Linked DNA regions of Schizosaccharomyces pombe. The gene in region 2 interacts genetically with the main gene of each other region. Each region holds a gene or a part of one and is shown on either strand. Other genes may lie near its edges.

Region 1 (7,918 bases), on a different chromosome or scaffold from region 2:
TACGTTGGCTGTTGATACCACCGCACATGCCAAGTCTGGTCATCCCGGTGCCCCCATGGGTTTGGCTCCTGCCGCTCACGTTCTTTTCAGTCGTATCATGAAGTTCAACCCTGCTCACCCCAAGTGGTTGAACCGTGATCGCTTCATTCTCTCTAATGGTCACGCTTGTGTCTTACAGTACATCATGTGCCACTTGCTTGGTTACAAATTGACCATTGAAGACTTGAAGCAATTCCGTCAAGTCGGCAGTAAGACTCCTGGTCATCCCGAAACTCATAACCCTGACCTCAACATTGAGACTGGTGCTGGTCCTTTGGGTCAAGGTATTGCTAGTGCTGTTGGTCTTGCCATTGGCAAAGCTCATTCTGCTGCTGTTTACAACAAGCCTGGTTTTGACCTTTTCTCCAACTACACCTTTTGCTTCTTGGGTGATGGTTGTCTTCAAGAGGGTGTCTCTTCCGAGGCCTGTTCCTTGGCTGGTCACTTGAAGCTTAGCAACTTGATTGCTGTTTGGGATAACAACAAGATTACCATTGACGGTGCTACCTCTATGTCCTTTGATGAAGACGTTGAAAAGCGTTTCGAGGCCTATGGCTGGAACATCGTTCGTGTTGCCAACGGTGATACTGATCTTGATGGTATTGAAAAGGGTTTCCGTGAAGCCATGTCTTGCACTGACAAGCCTACTTTGATTAACCTCAAGACCACCATTGGTTACGGTTCTGAACTTCAAGGTACTCACAGTGTTCACGGCAGTCCTCTTAAGCCTGAAGACTGTGTTCATGTCAAGAAACTCTTTGGTTTCGACCCCACCAAGACTTTCCAAGTTCCTCCCGAGGTTTATGCCTACTACAAGGAGCGTGTCGCCATCGCTTCCTCTGCTGAAGAAGAGTACAAAAAAATGTATGCTTCTTACAAGCAATCTTACCCTGATCTTTCCAATCAGCTTGAGCGTATCTTGAGCCGTAAATTCCCCGAGGGTTGGGAGAAGCATCTTCCTGTTTACAAGCCCGGTGACAAAGCTGTCGCTACTCGTAAGCTTTCAGAAATTGTTCTCGATGCTCTTTGCCCTGTCTTGCCTGAACTTGTTGGTGGTTCCGCTGATTTAACTCCTTCTAACTTGACTCGTTGGGAAGGCGCTGCTGATTTCCAACCTCCTTCTAGCAAGCTCGGTACCTATGCCGGTCGTTACATTCGTTACGGTATTCGTGAGCATGGTATGGCTGGTATCATGAACGGTTTGGCCGTCTATGGTCCTATCATCCCTTACGGTGGTACTTTCTTGAACTTTGTTTCTTATGCTGCCGGTGCCGTTCGTATGGCTGCCTTGAACAACAGCCGTGTCATTTATGTTGCTACCCATGATTCTATTGGTTTGGGTGAGGACGGTCCTACCCATCAACCTATTGAGACTTTTGCTCATTTCCGTGCTATGCCCAACATTAACTGCTGGCGTCCCGCTGACGGTAATGAAACTTCCGCTGCTTACTACAGTGCTTTGACTAGTGATAGCACTCCTTCTATTTTGGCTTTGACTCGTCAAAACCTTCCTCAACTTGAGAACTCTACTATTGAAAATGCTCTTAAGGGTGGTTATGTCATGTTGGAGAACAAGGAGGCCGATATTACTCTTGTCGGTACTGGTTCTGAAGTCTCTCTTTGCATTGACACTGTCAAGACCCTTGAGACCGAGTACAACTTGAAGGCTCGTGTCGTTTCATTGCCTTGCTGGGAAGTTTTCGAACAACAACCAGAAAGCTACCGTCTTTCTGTCATTCCTGACGGTATTCCTGCTATGTCCGTCGAGGTTTGGGCTACCAATGGTTGGAGACGTTACGTTCACGAGGCCTTTGGTATGCACACTTTTGGTGACTCTGGCCCTGCTCCCAAATTATACGAGAAATTCCATTTCACCACCTCTGGTGTTGCTCAACGTGCCAAAAAGACTGTTGATGCTTACAAGGATATCCCTTATATTCGTTCCCCTGTCCGCCGTGCTTTCTAATTTAGTAGCATTTTTTCTCTAGATTCTTTTAGGATTGATTTGCTGGCTTAGAATTCAATTCGTGCGGAAGGAAGTAGTTATGAGTGAATTGTGTTTTGTCTTTATTTGAATGTAAGTCTATAAATGTGAGCAAAATATGAATGCATAAATATATATATTTTTGTATATATGATATTCGACGATATAGTTGGAATTGTGAGTAGAGTATTACAATAATTTTGCATCTACTTTAGTCAATGTAAGTGCAGTTTACTGGCGTTTATAGTTGATGTATTACAAACTATTTTTATTCATATTTAAAATTAGAAGTAAAAAGTTGATATTTATTTAATAACTTTATTCAAACATTCACAGACGTACATAACTTTAGAGTACTTAATAATCAACACTGTTTTTCTAATCAAAGATAAACCTAGTAAAGGTATGGTAAGGAAAGGGGGTAACATTCAATTATATAAGGGTTGCTACTAAATCATGCCTAGCAGATTGCATTATTTTACGCAAGAAAGATGATTGAATCTTTAATTAACAGGAAAGTGAGGAGGAATCAAACCTCTGCTGCCATACCACTTACCATTGCGGACGGCGAAATTCCAGTAAACAAAAGGAAAGAAGTCCTTCTTAAGGTGATAAAACATGCGACGAGGTACAGTTTGGTCAAGGAAACGAGAAAAGCGACCGAAAGATTCTTTAGGTTCTTGTTTGTACAAGAATTCGGCCAAGATAAGCTTACCATAGCCAGTGAGTAGCGGGCATGAAGTGTAACCATTGTATGATGCAGTTAAATTCTTTCCATTAACGAAACTCCAAAGATTGTGGACCATAACAGGAGCTTGTGCAGTAATGGCAGCGTAAGTCTTACTAGTTGGCAAACCACTGCAATCACCGATAGCGAAAACATTGGGGAACTTGGTCGATTGTGTAGTAGATTGATCAACAGCAACAAAACCAGATTTATCAGCCAAATCACTCTTTGCGATAAACTCATGAGAACGCATAGAGGGGACGGCATGCAAAAGATCAAAAGGACGCTCGAAGAGAGAGCCATCGTTTAAATTCTTAAATACGGCTTTACGTTCAGATCCCTTAACTTCAACAAGCTCATCTTTATAATTAATCTTGACATTGCGATGTAATTGCTCATTTTGGCGAAGAAGGGCATCAGAATAGCGCTTAACCGAGAAAAGAGTAGGCATACCAGTGTAGAAGGATACATCAATATTGGAACGAACTTTATGACGACGCCAATAATCTTCAGCCATCCACATAATCTTTTGTGGAGCGCCGGCACACTTCAAGACACCGCTGGGTTGAGTAAAAATGGCATTTCCAGACTTGGTTTTTTCAATCCAAGGATAAACAGCGTCAGCATATTTTTCTGAATAGATAGTAACTACAGGGGTGTTGGGGTCATCCAAAGCCTCAGTTAAACCCTTGATTCTGCCAAAGTCAGTATAAATACCAGCTGCCATAACCAAATAATCATAGCTAATTTCTTGACCACTTTGAGTAACTATTTTGTTTTCACGAGGATGTAAGGATTTAACAAATTCAGGATGGAGTTTAAATTTGTCAGCAGGAACCAGGCTAGCCAATTCTCGTCTGGTCTTAGCAACAGAACTCAATCCAGCACCAGTCAAAGTCCAACCAGGTTGGTAATAATGATACTTGGCACCATCCACAATACCAATTTCACCGGGTTTGAGGGATGTATCTTTGCCTTGGTCATTGGCAAAGCGGTATTTAGAAAACTTGTTGTAAATTTGATGGGCGACGGATATACCAGCGGATCCACCACCAACTACTAAAACCTTGTGATGGGTAGAGGCGAATCGAGCCAACATGGAAGCGGACTGAAATGAGCCGGTGACCGACTTGATTGTTGAGTTTAAGGTCAACATTTTTAGTTGCAAAAATGCAAAAGAGAAGTGTTTTTTTAAAGGTAAAGGAAAAAAAAAGGAGGCAAAAAGTAGCCTAATAAAACACAAGAAAACAGAGGTTGAGCGGAAAAAACGCGTTTAAAATTTCAAGAATTTAACACCTCAATAAGTAAATCAGGAGAAAAGGAATTTTTAAAAAAAAAATTTTTGATTACAATATCAAAGAATGTAGTCAAACAAGCACCACCTTTCAAGTGTACTAGAATAAGTGCTAGTCTGTTTTGACTCAAGCGAAGTAAAAGAAAAAAAAAAATTTTTTATTTCTTTTATATGCACTCTTCAATGTACTTTAATTGTTCAAGAAACAAGCACAATTTAGTCTACCGGCTGTCGTCTAAAAAGAATGGTGTAGTGTACAAAATAGAATTAACGGAAGACAAGCCTATGTAGAAAATATTTGCAAATACAGTCGACTAATCAGAATTAGCAGCATAAGGTGTTTATATTCAGTCGATAACTCACGTCAGCTCCGAAGGCGTAATCGGTTACGCAATTTTGTCAAGTGCTTGCGCTTTGCTTGTGATTCCGAAATATGTGGCATAACTTTATTCATTTTAGGGGCAAATCACGTGGATTTGCTAAGTTTCATTAAAGTTTGTAAAGCAAAAGCTATCGAGGCTTAAGGAACTCATAAAAGCTGCTTAATGCATGTTTCCGTAAATTAATAATAGTACTAGAAGTAAGAAAGTGAATGATTTTGTGGGTATGTGTATTTTTAATTTTGCAAAAATATTCGTTTATCCCTAAAGTAGTACAGTAGCCGAAAGAATCCTTTATAACGTCCATGCATTTGTGCACAAATACAACAAAATTAGAAGTTTGTCAAATTGCTGTTGGTCATTTTCAAATAGCAAATAGCAAGGCGCTGAAATGTTAAGGTTGCTATTTTCTGACATATAACGAAAATCGGCTGTACTAAAGAGTAACGTGGGTTGGCGATGGACATTCTTTGCTGAAGAAGCAAACATTGTTCATAAAAAGTAGACTGATATTCTATTATGCTATAAAATGAATCGGCTCTTTTGTGTAATTAATTAAATTTTCCATATTCGGTAATACTACTAAACATTAGTATACACAATACCAAAATCAATCAAATCATACATAGCATGGATCGTTTGTTTAACATTGAAAAATTCCTTTACGCAGTGCGGAATCTTCAGTTGTTAGATTGAATATAAAGTTTTAGAACATATGACTCTTTTAACCAGATTAAATTTAAGCTTGACATGAAAGTACCTTTATTAAAGTAGCCCCCTGTTAGCAAATACCATGATCATCCAAGAAGGTAAATTTTGAAGAACGCCGTTTTCATAACCATTATGTGTTGCTGTGCAAAGATGTAAACAAACTGATTTTTCGATACAATAATATACCTTTAAATAGAGAAAAGCTAAAAAAAAAAAAAAAAAAAGAAGTAGTTGATTTATAAATAACCCTTTTTCACTAAAAGCAACCTTTAAGTAGGACATGTCTAAAAACAACACAGGTATCTCCAACGAAATAATAAAACCCCAAAAGGTTTGTGCAAAAACCTTCGGCAATGAAATTTATAAGACGGGATGAATGTACAGAATAGAATTGCAACCATTTTCTAGACCACGTGATTTTTGGGAAATTTTGGTGATGCATTAGATGAAGAAAAATAGAACATGAATGAAAGTCTACTTATACAATTTGGAGTAAATGATTAATTGATGCTTTTAAATTTTGTTTGACTTTGATTCGAATCCAATAGCTCATTTCCACCAAGCAGGAATGCCCAGTCCATCACGAGAACAGGAAGCCTAAATATATAGTTAGTAAATTCTATCGATTTGAGAGAAGCAGAAAATATTTTCTTGTATACTAGCAAATAGATGGTGCACCCTTCATAAATAATGACACAAGTTTCGCCCTAAACATAAAAAAAAAAACTTACAATCAATGTATATGGGGATACCGATTCCAATGCTTCTGTGCCTGTAATCGCGGTTGCATTTTTATTCCTCTTAGGTGAAATATCAACAAAGTCCTCAGATTCTATTTGAAAGCGTATTTCTTCATCAATGTCAAAATACAATTCGGTTCCCTCTGAGCCGTCCTCCCCTTCAATTTTCCATACCCAGGCACGCTCATCCGGACGAAAGACACATGGATCGAAAAGCATATCTTTCGGAATGAAAATATCGTCAAAAAAGCTAATAGTTACTGGGAGAAAAACATTAACAACAAGCATTTAAACAAACACATTTAACATACCCCGAATACCTTCTTCACTGCACGATTTTATTTTTCCCAGCATTACTTCACCTCGAAAAGGACGAAAGATTATAAGGCGGAAAACCACTAATCTAATTAGAACCATTTAAGTTTTTCTTTTCCACTGAATCACTATCCTGACAGCCTTTCGTATTGATAATGCGAATTGGCATATGAAATAAAGTGAGCAGACTTATACTTACCATTCATGTATGAAGAGCCATCTCCGTATTTAATTATTCCTTCCCCAATTTTCAAAAAATCATAAACGCAAATAGCCAGTCCAATGTTTTGTATCACTTTGTTAGCATACTTTTTATGGATTTCTTCAGCCAGTGCTTCCTTTGTAGGCTTCCAAAAATTGGATGGATGGATGCTTATAATGTCTGAAAACCGACTCAAGAGAAACATAAATAATAAAACGGCTATTACTCGTAGTTTTTACCACCTTGTAGAAAAAATCTTTAACTTGAATAGAACGATAAATAATTAGAAATACAACAGTGGATCACAATCCAATTTAAAAATATTTCTTAACCTTTTGGTCAACAACTTTGCATAAATCAAAAGGAACCTTTCAAAAAAGTAATTTAACTGCAAGCCCAGCTTTCTTTGCCAGGTCGCGTAAAAATATGAATACGAAGATTATGTTGCATACCAGACCATTCATGGCGAGTTAACGATCTAATGAAAAGCGTGTTAAACGACTTAGCGAGGCCAGTGAAGTTTTAGCGCAGTAGCTTTAAGACAAATCCATGAAATATTGTTTACAATTGAAAAATTATAATGAGTAGAAGTTTCAATCGCTTATTCAAACATACAAATTTATTACAGAATTAATATAAATTTTAAATAGTTAAAAGGATGAATATAACAAGATTGTTGAGTGTTCTGTCGATATACATGCTCATGAGCAGTTAAGAAGTAAAAACAAATAATTAATGAAAGAATTCTTTGAAAATCGAACTACTAAATAATTTTTTAAAATTATTAGCTATTTTAGCTTTTTTTTCTATTTACAAATTCTAGCATATTTGTAAATAAACATTTTTTGTTAATATCTATGAGCAGTATTTAAAGATAAAAAAAAGGAAAATAATTAATTAAATATTGCTGCAAACATATCTAACGAGAGTATGGCATACTAAAATTTCCTGAAAATTTGACGATTCTGTTAACTTTAATATTGGCATAGTTTAGAAAACTTAAGTAAATCATTTTTTAGTCATTAAAAAGTTAAATATTTCATTTTGTTACATGAACGCCAAAATTTTTGAATTTAATGTTTAACAACTTTTGATACTTGACACTACAAACAGACTTATGTTTTCCCTACTCTTACTCATCCGAATTCAATAGTTCATAAAACATTTGAAGACAATGAGAGAAATTTACTATATAATGAATAGAATGGGTCCGGTCCGGCTTAATAAAAGGCATCCACCCTAAAACACTCAGTTGTTACAGTTGAGAATTTTTAACAACTCTTGTTGCAGCACTCAATTCAGTATAGCGACATTGCTAAAATTCGCTAAAGCTGCTGATGATGTATGAATATTTCCAAGAATTTACTCTAGAGCAAAGTGTCAAATGCCAACTTAAATATTATACATATATTTATTATTTATCAATAGAAACCATTTTTTTTAAAACAAGAAGTATTTATTGGTTTCTGACTTTTGGCAAAAATAACAAATTCAAAATATGTCGAGGCATCGTGATGTAAAAAATC
Region 2 (7,847 bases):
CTTCGGGGTCGACGTTGCTACAGGTTTAAGTTTGTAAAATAACTCGAGATCAAATTTTAAAATGTTTAAGCCTTCGTAACCATTTACGGGGAAATCGTCAGCAGTTTTTGTCTCAGGTGTCTTAATTATTGAAAAATCAGATGGAAGAATGTTTGAAAAGGCTTGATTTTGATGAATTGGTAATGTTTGATTAGTTTTGTCTTGTAAAGCTGGACGTGTCGAATTCTTTTTTTTTGAATTTGATATTTTAGGATTCTTGTTTTTTTTTATTAATTTATACTCTAATTCGTTTTCATTATTTATAGCCATAAATGCAATCTATTGTTTTTTTTCGCTTAATGTTTTATATGATTAATGCGGTTTTGTTTACATTTTTACCAATGGGAAAACCTAATGTTCGAGGTCTACTAGCTGAATTTACGAATAACAAATCTTAATGTTTTTTCGTTGAGTTTACTTAGCCTAAGTGAAACCACAAGGCTGCTGTTAAAACTTTTAAAGGAAAACCAAGGTAGTGTGACTTTAAGATAATAAAGGATTCAATCAAGCATCGCTAATCCTTTTTGATTCCACAGTAAACAAAATATGTTATGGTGATTATAAGTATTAACTTAGATTATATAATTAATGGCTAATTAATATAAAGTTTTGATTTAATGTCTTTAAGTGTGCAATCCATCGTAAACATCATTGTCTATTTATAATAAGGATTTCTCATCATCTGCATTGAAAATCAAAACAACTTAGGAAACGCAACATTAAGTAATTAGAAATTTGGTTATGCAATGTGTACTAAACGGCTTGTAACTTAAAAGGAGCTTAACGTCGAACATTGTGAGTCTCCAAAAAACATAGTTTTTTTAGCAAAGCAGTAAATATTTGACGTTAAAATACTTGACAGATAATATTAACATCAAATGAATCTTATCATTTCTAAAAGCTTTGCAGTAGTTGCTTTGCATTCCCTGAATTTCGTTTTACATTCACTGCGCTTTCTTAAAATATGGTATGCTGGAAATTTGATTCCAACCACTAACAAACAAAAATCATAGATATTGCTAAAAATTAAACGATTGGCAAGATGGATATTCGGCCAGCTCGTATAAGTGACCTTACTGGGATGCAGAACTGCAACTTACATAACTTGCCTGAAAATTATCAGTTAAAATATTGTAAGTTCAATTCATTGTAATTCTTGCTGCACGGCAATGAACTTCCAGTATTAAAACAATGATTCTTATTTTCTAATTTAATGTAGACCTTTATCATGCTATTTCTTGGCCTATGCTTTCTTATGTTGCTACTGATCCGAAAGGACGTGTCGTAGGATATGTTCTTGCAAAAATGGAAGAAGAGCCTAAGGATGGGATCCCTCATGGTCATATCACAAGTGTCTCAGTAATGCGCTCCTATCGTCATCTAGGACTTGCTAAACGTCTCATGGTTCAAAGTCGTAAGTGTTAATTGAGAGCGAAGTAGATTACGGATATATCCAAGGAGGAGCTAGAGGGAAATCTTAAGCTTTTTTGCAGTTGTTATCGATGATTATTCCAATATGTATATATTTTATTTTGTGCAAGACTTGGTCTGCTAATACTTTGAATTGTTCATTTGGTGAGTTGGTTTTTTCCTTGCAACAATTCATTTTTTTTACCTAATTTGTTTTCGACAATGTTTCCTTCCTGCTGATTCCTTGATATTTTCGGTCCATTCCTTAAACAAAATTTTTTTAAAAAAAGTAAAAGATACTAACTACTTAAATGAACAGAAAGAGCCATGGTCGAAGTTTATGGCGCCAAATATATGAGTCTTCATGTTCGTAAAAGCAACAGAGCTGCTATTCATCTTTATCGTGATACTTTGCAATTTGAGTATGTTTTTACTCGCCATCATTGAAGAGATTCTAACATTATTTTAGCGTTCAAGGGATTGAAAGCAAATATTATGCTGATGGTGAAGATGCTTATGCTATGCAGTAAGTACTTTGTTGTAAAAACTAGGTTGGGGATGGTTGCATGGATCGTTTAATGAGTATTCTTTCCAAAAACTATATACAATCTTTGTGACAATCGTTCTTTCTTTAGTTTGGTCAACTTCTGTATAATTACCTACGTTGTTTCAGACAATATATGACTGTTCAACGTCATCACAACTATCTAGGTTACTAACAATTTTTAGCAAAGATTTTTCTACTTTGAAATTCGATACACCAGAAACCAACGACGAACTAGCAAAAACCGTTCAATCTCTTGCATTGAACAACTAATAAAATATATACCGTTATTTCTAATTAGTGAATTAGGGTGTAGTGTACGATACTGCAGTTATAACTTCGTGATAGCGTATTTAACATTTGATTGTACTCGCTTACTGGTGTACTAAATATATTTCGAAATAACTCTTGTAATTTCGAGTTTTTGTTTATCACATCTAACTGCCTAATCGTGTCGTTTGGTGTTAGGTAGCCCAACACCTCGATAGTCATACTGTATTACTTGTCACCAATATCCACTGCATTTTTAGACGAATACCTATTTAAGCTGAAATGACTTCTATAGCAAAAGCTTTTGTTGAAAAGGCGATCTCAAACAATCCGGTTACTGTCTTTAGTAAATCGTTCTGTCCTTTCTGCAAAGCAGCCAAAAATACTCTTACAAAGTACTCTGCTCCGTATAAGGCTTATGAGTTAGATAAAATAGGTAAGTATGGTATTCTTCATTTGTTTAAGAGCTGAAGATTCAGTTGATCGATTGTAAAGTTTCTTGAGTTATGTCTACATAAATTAAGTATATGAAATAATAGTCTAATTGGGTTTTCGAAACCTCATAATTGTGTAATGAAACTACGAAAATTTTTGTTTCCTTCCATGATCTTGAGAAATAGCGAAACATTTCAAGTTTTTTGTTCTGCTTTTCATCCTTTTTAACTAACTTGATGTTACACTAGAAAATGGATCTGACATCCAAGGTGTGTTTAGTTAACAAACTGATTTTATCATATGCTTACCTGAGCAGCTTATTTACATGAAAAGACCAAACAGTCTACAGTACCCAGCATATTCTTTCGCAACCAATTCATTGGAGGTATGAACCCAAATTTGTTTTCCTTGACCATTAATATTCTCGTTGGTTTTTCTCTGTTGTTTATTACTAATACATTATATAAAGGCAATTCCGATTTGAACAAACTTCGTAGCTCAGGCACTTTGACGAAGATGATAGCAGAGCTTAAGGAAAACAAATCTTCAATTTTATGATTATCTTTAGGATTTATATAGCGAACGACTTTACAATATTATTTTTTAGGGAAACGAGATAACGAACTGAATGTGCAGTTGCAAAACAATTCTATTATAACATTAAAGGTATCTTTATCTTCAATCAGTTTCTAGTTTCCTGCTCACTTTGAACAGCAAGTTTTCTTCAGTTGCAAAACACACAGTGTGTGCTTTTTTTTGGAAAAAGTTATTTAGCCAGATTACTTTTCTACTTACTATATACCAAGTTTAATAGTGAAATCATTTGACTTCAATCTCATCACCTCTAGTAGTCGCCATGCATTGATTGCCACTTGGTAATATAAATGACACAACAGAAGCGACCTCACGAAGACACACACACAGTACGTACAAAGTGATGTACTTTTCCTTTGTTCACTGAACCCAAGTAATACAATTGGTTTTTCGTATATATTTATTTATATTATTTTTCACTGATCATGAATAACCCGACTTCCGACGATCGTTTACGCTTCCAACAAAAATGCCATAAATCCATGCTAAACACTGGGGCGATATTTAAAAACTGTAAATTACGAAACGGAGATGTTTTGCAAGAAGTCACTGAAAGCTTAACTGAAGACAGTGAATTCAACTACATTGTAAATGAGTCTCAGAATGTTTCTACTCGTTTAATATTTTGGAATAAATGGATTTATATTTTGTGTGCTAATACTTCATCAAATATCACAGCTACAAGGATTTTCCGTTTAGATGATGATCAGCCTTGGAATTTGGAATCTTTAGTTGCAGAGGTTTGTCCAGTTGATACAGATAATCGGCTTGCTGAACATGCTGCACGTACCGCTAAAGATACCTCGGCTAATGAGTTAAATTATGAATCATATCAGGAGAAGAGCAGAGCTCCATTTGGGTTTGCTGGACCATTTGGTGCAATGCCTGGCTCACAACCAATGTTTCCTTCTATAGGAGCAAGTGATTTGTATCCAGCAGGAATCGGAGGATCTGATATGGGCAACGATGGAGGTATGATTCCTACATTCAATCATCCTATTTTTCATCCTGAAAACAGGTCTCGAAATGAACAAGCTTCAGCAAACCGAACTAATATACCACCAGGAGCTCGTTACGATCCCACAGGCCCTGGTGATTTTCGTGGATTCGGCAGGGATGAGAGGAAACCTCAATTTCCTTTTAAAGGCCCGCGATCTCAATTTCCCGGTGAACCTGACAATGATGACTTCATGCCACCTGGTTCATCCGATATGTTTATGTAAATTGGTCACTTTATAAGTATTACAAGAAATGTTAGATGATAGGATATGTTATTTAAATAATAGTAAAAGATTTTGGTTTTGATTTTTTTTTCTTAATATGTGAATTTTAATGCTCAATTTCGGAATAAACGCATACTACTGGATATCTCTACTTCTTTAAATAATTGAGTTTTCTACTATTTGCGTACAAAGTTTAGTAAGTTCCTCTTCTAAAGAGCGCATTTATACAAGTGTTAAGAATGAAACCAGCAGGACCTAATGAAAACGTCTAGTATTTATTTTCAATAGGACGGTCTTAGCACCGAATTGATAATTTCAAAACATACACTCGGGCACATGCCTACTCATAAATTTTTTAAGCTGTTAGATGTTTATTATTTAACCTCATCTAAACTTATTTACTACTACCTGCCACTAGAATCCAAGAACTAAACAAATTTCTAACCAAAAGTATAAAAGATGTAACAAAAGGTACCGTATGCTGTTAGGAACATTATTACTCCATTTCGACAGTTGCCGGAGGCTTACTGCTAATGTCATACAATACACGATTAACACCAGACACTTCGTTGCAAATACGGGAGCTGACCAACTTCAAAAACTTAATGCTAAACCCATCGTACCAATCAGCTGTCATAAAATCAGAAGTGGTAATAGCACGAAGAGCAATTACTTGTTCATGAGTACGCTTGTCACCCATAACACCGACAGCCTTTACCGGTAAAAGAGCAGCGAAAGCTTGAGAAATTTTATCATAATAGCCGTGGTTACGAATTTCAGTAATAAAAATGTGGTCGGCTTTACGCGCAATTTCAAGCTGAGCAGCATTAACTTCGCCAAGGATACGAATGCCCAAACCAGGGCCTGGGAAAGGATGACGCCAGACAAGGCTATGTTCAATACCAAGTAATTCACCCAAAGCACGAACTTCGTCTTTGAAGAGCTCACGAAGGGGTTCAATAAGTTTGAGCTTCATGTCCTTCAAAAGACCGCCAACATTATGGTGGGTTTTGATTGTCTGAGAAGGGCCCTTGAAAGAAATACTTTCTATGACATCAGGATATAATGTTCCCTGCAATAAGTATTCAACTTTACCGTTGGTTTCTTTAACAATTCGCTCAGCCTCTCGTTCAAAAACATGAATAAACGTGTTACCAATGATCTTTCGCTTCTTCTCGGGATCAGTAACACCTTTCAGTTTTCCAATGAACTCTTCAGAAGCATCAACTACTGTTAATTGAATTCCTAAATGCTTATTGAGGGTTTCACGAACAATCTCTGCTTCATTAAGACGCAGCAAGCCATTGTCAACCATAATGGCATGGAACCGATCTCCAATAGCCTCTTTCAGAACCTTTGAAGCAACTGTTGAATCTACACCACCAGAAACAGCACCAATGACATGATCACTTGGTCCAATCATTTTACGAATACGAAGAATTTCTTTATCAACGAAATTTTCCATACTCCAGTTGGGCTTAGCATGGCAGATTTCAATGGCAAAGTTCTTAATAAGTTGCAAACCTAATGGAGTGTGAGTAACTTCAGGATGGAATTGCAAACCAATGATGGGCTTTGTAACATGTGCAATGACAGCGAAAGGAGAATTCTTGGTGCGTCCAATTGTTTCATAGCCATTGGGAAGAGCGCTTAGTCTGTCGCCATGAGACATCCAAACCTCAAATTCTTTTGGCATGGAGTTAAAAAAGCTTTTGAAGACCTCGGTTTTGATTTCAGGTTCCATACTAACTGTAGCTGGACCGTACTCTCTCTCGATACCTGGTTCAACACAACGTCCATTCAACCATGCAATTTCTTGCATGCCATAACAAATACCGAGTACAGGAACACCAAGTTCAAAGACAGCAGGATCCACATGAGGTGCAATGTCATCGTAAACAGAATAGGGGCCGCCAGACAAAATAACACCAATAGGCTTAAATGGGAGAGCTTCTATTTTTTGAGTGCAAGGAAGTAACTCTGCATACACGTGAATCTCACGAAGACGTCTGGCAATCAAATGACTATACTGAGAGCTACAATTATGGTTAGTACAAACGAATCAGGAAGTCGAAAAGACCACTACTAGAGCCATTTTTATTTTTTATGAGATAAAAAATAGGCTCATTGAAGAATTGATCAGAGAAGAGATAAAAAATTCACAACTAATATATCACAAGCGCGAAACTCCTTCAATCACAATCAAATTCATTTTAATATAATTTTTAAAACGTACCCAAAGTCAAGAATTAAAATGGTATCAAAATATGAAGAAACCTTTGATATTCAGATCAGTAATGATGCTAACAAGCAAACTTACAGAAGTAGAGACTTCCCCGGGCACTTCAGTGGAACTCATGATGAGTAATTAAAATTAAGTCTCTTTTAATCTAATGAAGTTGGAATCTTTATGGCAACTGGCAATGACCACTGGTAACCCCTAAATGGCACAAAGTACTAGTATGGTGAAGTTGCTAAATCCTTGCGAAAAAAAATGTAGCCTTTTAAAGATAGACCAATGTAATGCGCATACACTATTGTTTATAACGAATTTTAGTGCAGCAATGTATCGCTCGTAATATTTCAGATATCTCCTTTTTCGATTTCTCCATATAATATAGGAGGTTTTAAGGTGAAAATTCACTTTTCGGATGAGTTATAAAGCACTCATATATGATATTTATGAAATTTTTTTATCCTCTTATTTTACTCTTTAGCTGTAGTCTTCGAATTGTATCATAGCCTTTCTCTGCCATAAATATAAGTTTTCAGAAAATAAAATGATAAAAAATATCAATTACTCATTTAACAAGTGGTAGCCATTGTTATAGCTTTTTTTTTATATCTTCTGGCCATGCTCAGTTTATTATTATTTTTTTTTTCATTGATCTGTGAACTTGTGTATGGTTGTTTCCATTTTATTACAATCCATAGAGCATGCAGGCAATTTCTTAAAAATAATCGAACTCCATTCAATTAAAAGAATGTTTCAGATTCTGTTCTATCAGAATAAATTGCTAGTTAGCTTATAAAATAAGTACAGTTATATTTTATTATTGACTGCTATAACTGCTATAACATGTATATGCAGTAACATTTTTAACATTAAATAATGTTGAAAAGTTTATAATATTTAAGAATCAATCAAATTTTGGTACATAATATTAAAACAATTTACTAAATAAAACATAAAAATAAAAAAAAAGCAAAATTATACTTATTTGCTTAATTAAAAAGATAAAATATAAATTTATTATCGAAGACTGCAATATAATAGCAGGTCTCGTGGCCCAATGGTTAAGGCGCTTGACTACGGATCAAGAGATTCCAGG

Evidence for each region. Genes that interact genetically often act in the same process or in processes that back each other up.
Region 1: mutations in fub1 (region 2) and hmt2 together harm fitness less than expected from each alone (positive genetic interaction), as found in Schizosaccharomyces pombe (one large-scale study listed by BioGRID).

The regions. Positions count from the first base shown.
Region 1 is NC_003423.3:2,586,574-2,594,491, forward strand, and holds hmt2 (sulfide-quinone oxidoreductase), read right to left. Parts: upstream 4,361-7,918; 5' UTR 3,907-4,360; coding exon 2,527-3,906; 3' UTR 2,431-2,526; downstream 1-2,430. Other genes in the region: tkt1 (transketolase), read left to right, coding at 1-2,005; DNA-directed RNA polymerase III complex subunit Rpc25, read right to left, coding at 5,685-5,732, 5,867-6,135, 6,187-6,273, 6,390-6,597; hbs1 (translation release factor complex GTPase subunit), read left to right, coding at 7,891-7,918. UniProt on the Schizosaccharomyces pombe protein: Catalyzes the oxidation of hydrogen sulfide, with the help of a quinone.
Region 2 is NC_003424.3:3,728,726-3,736,572, forward strand, and holds fub1 (PI31 proteasome inhibitor domain-containing protein), read left to right. Parts: upstream 1-3,609; 5' UTR 3,610-3,717; coding exon 3,718-4,515; 3' UTR 4,516-4,638; downstream 4,639-7,847. Other genes in the region: moa1 (meikin), read right to left, coding at 1-309; NatA N-acetyltransferase complex catalytic subunit Naa10, read left to right, coding at 1,082-1,172, 1,259-1,453, 1,769-1,871, 1,919-1,975, 2,179-2,266; glutaredoxin Grx2, read left to right, coding at 2,546-2,699, 2,947-2,967, 3,015-3,083, 3,168-3,256; GMP synthase Gua2, read right to left, coding at 5,012-6,551, 6,752-6,792, 6,836-6,874. UniProt on the Schizosaccharomyces pombe protein: May play a role in the establishment of transcriptional silencing boundaries, preventing the propagation of heterochromatic silencing.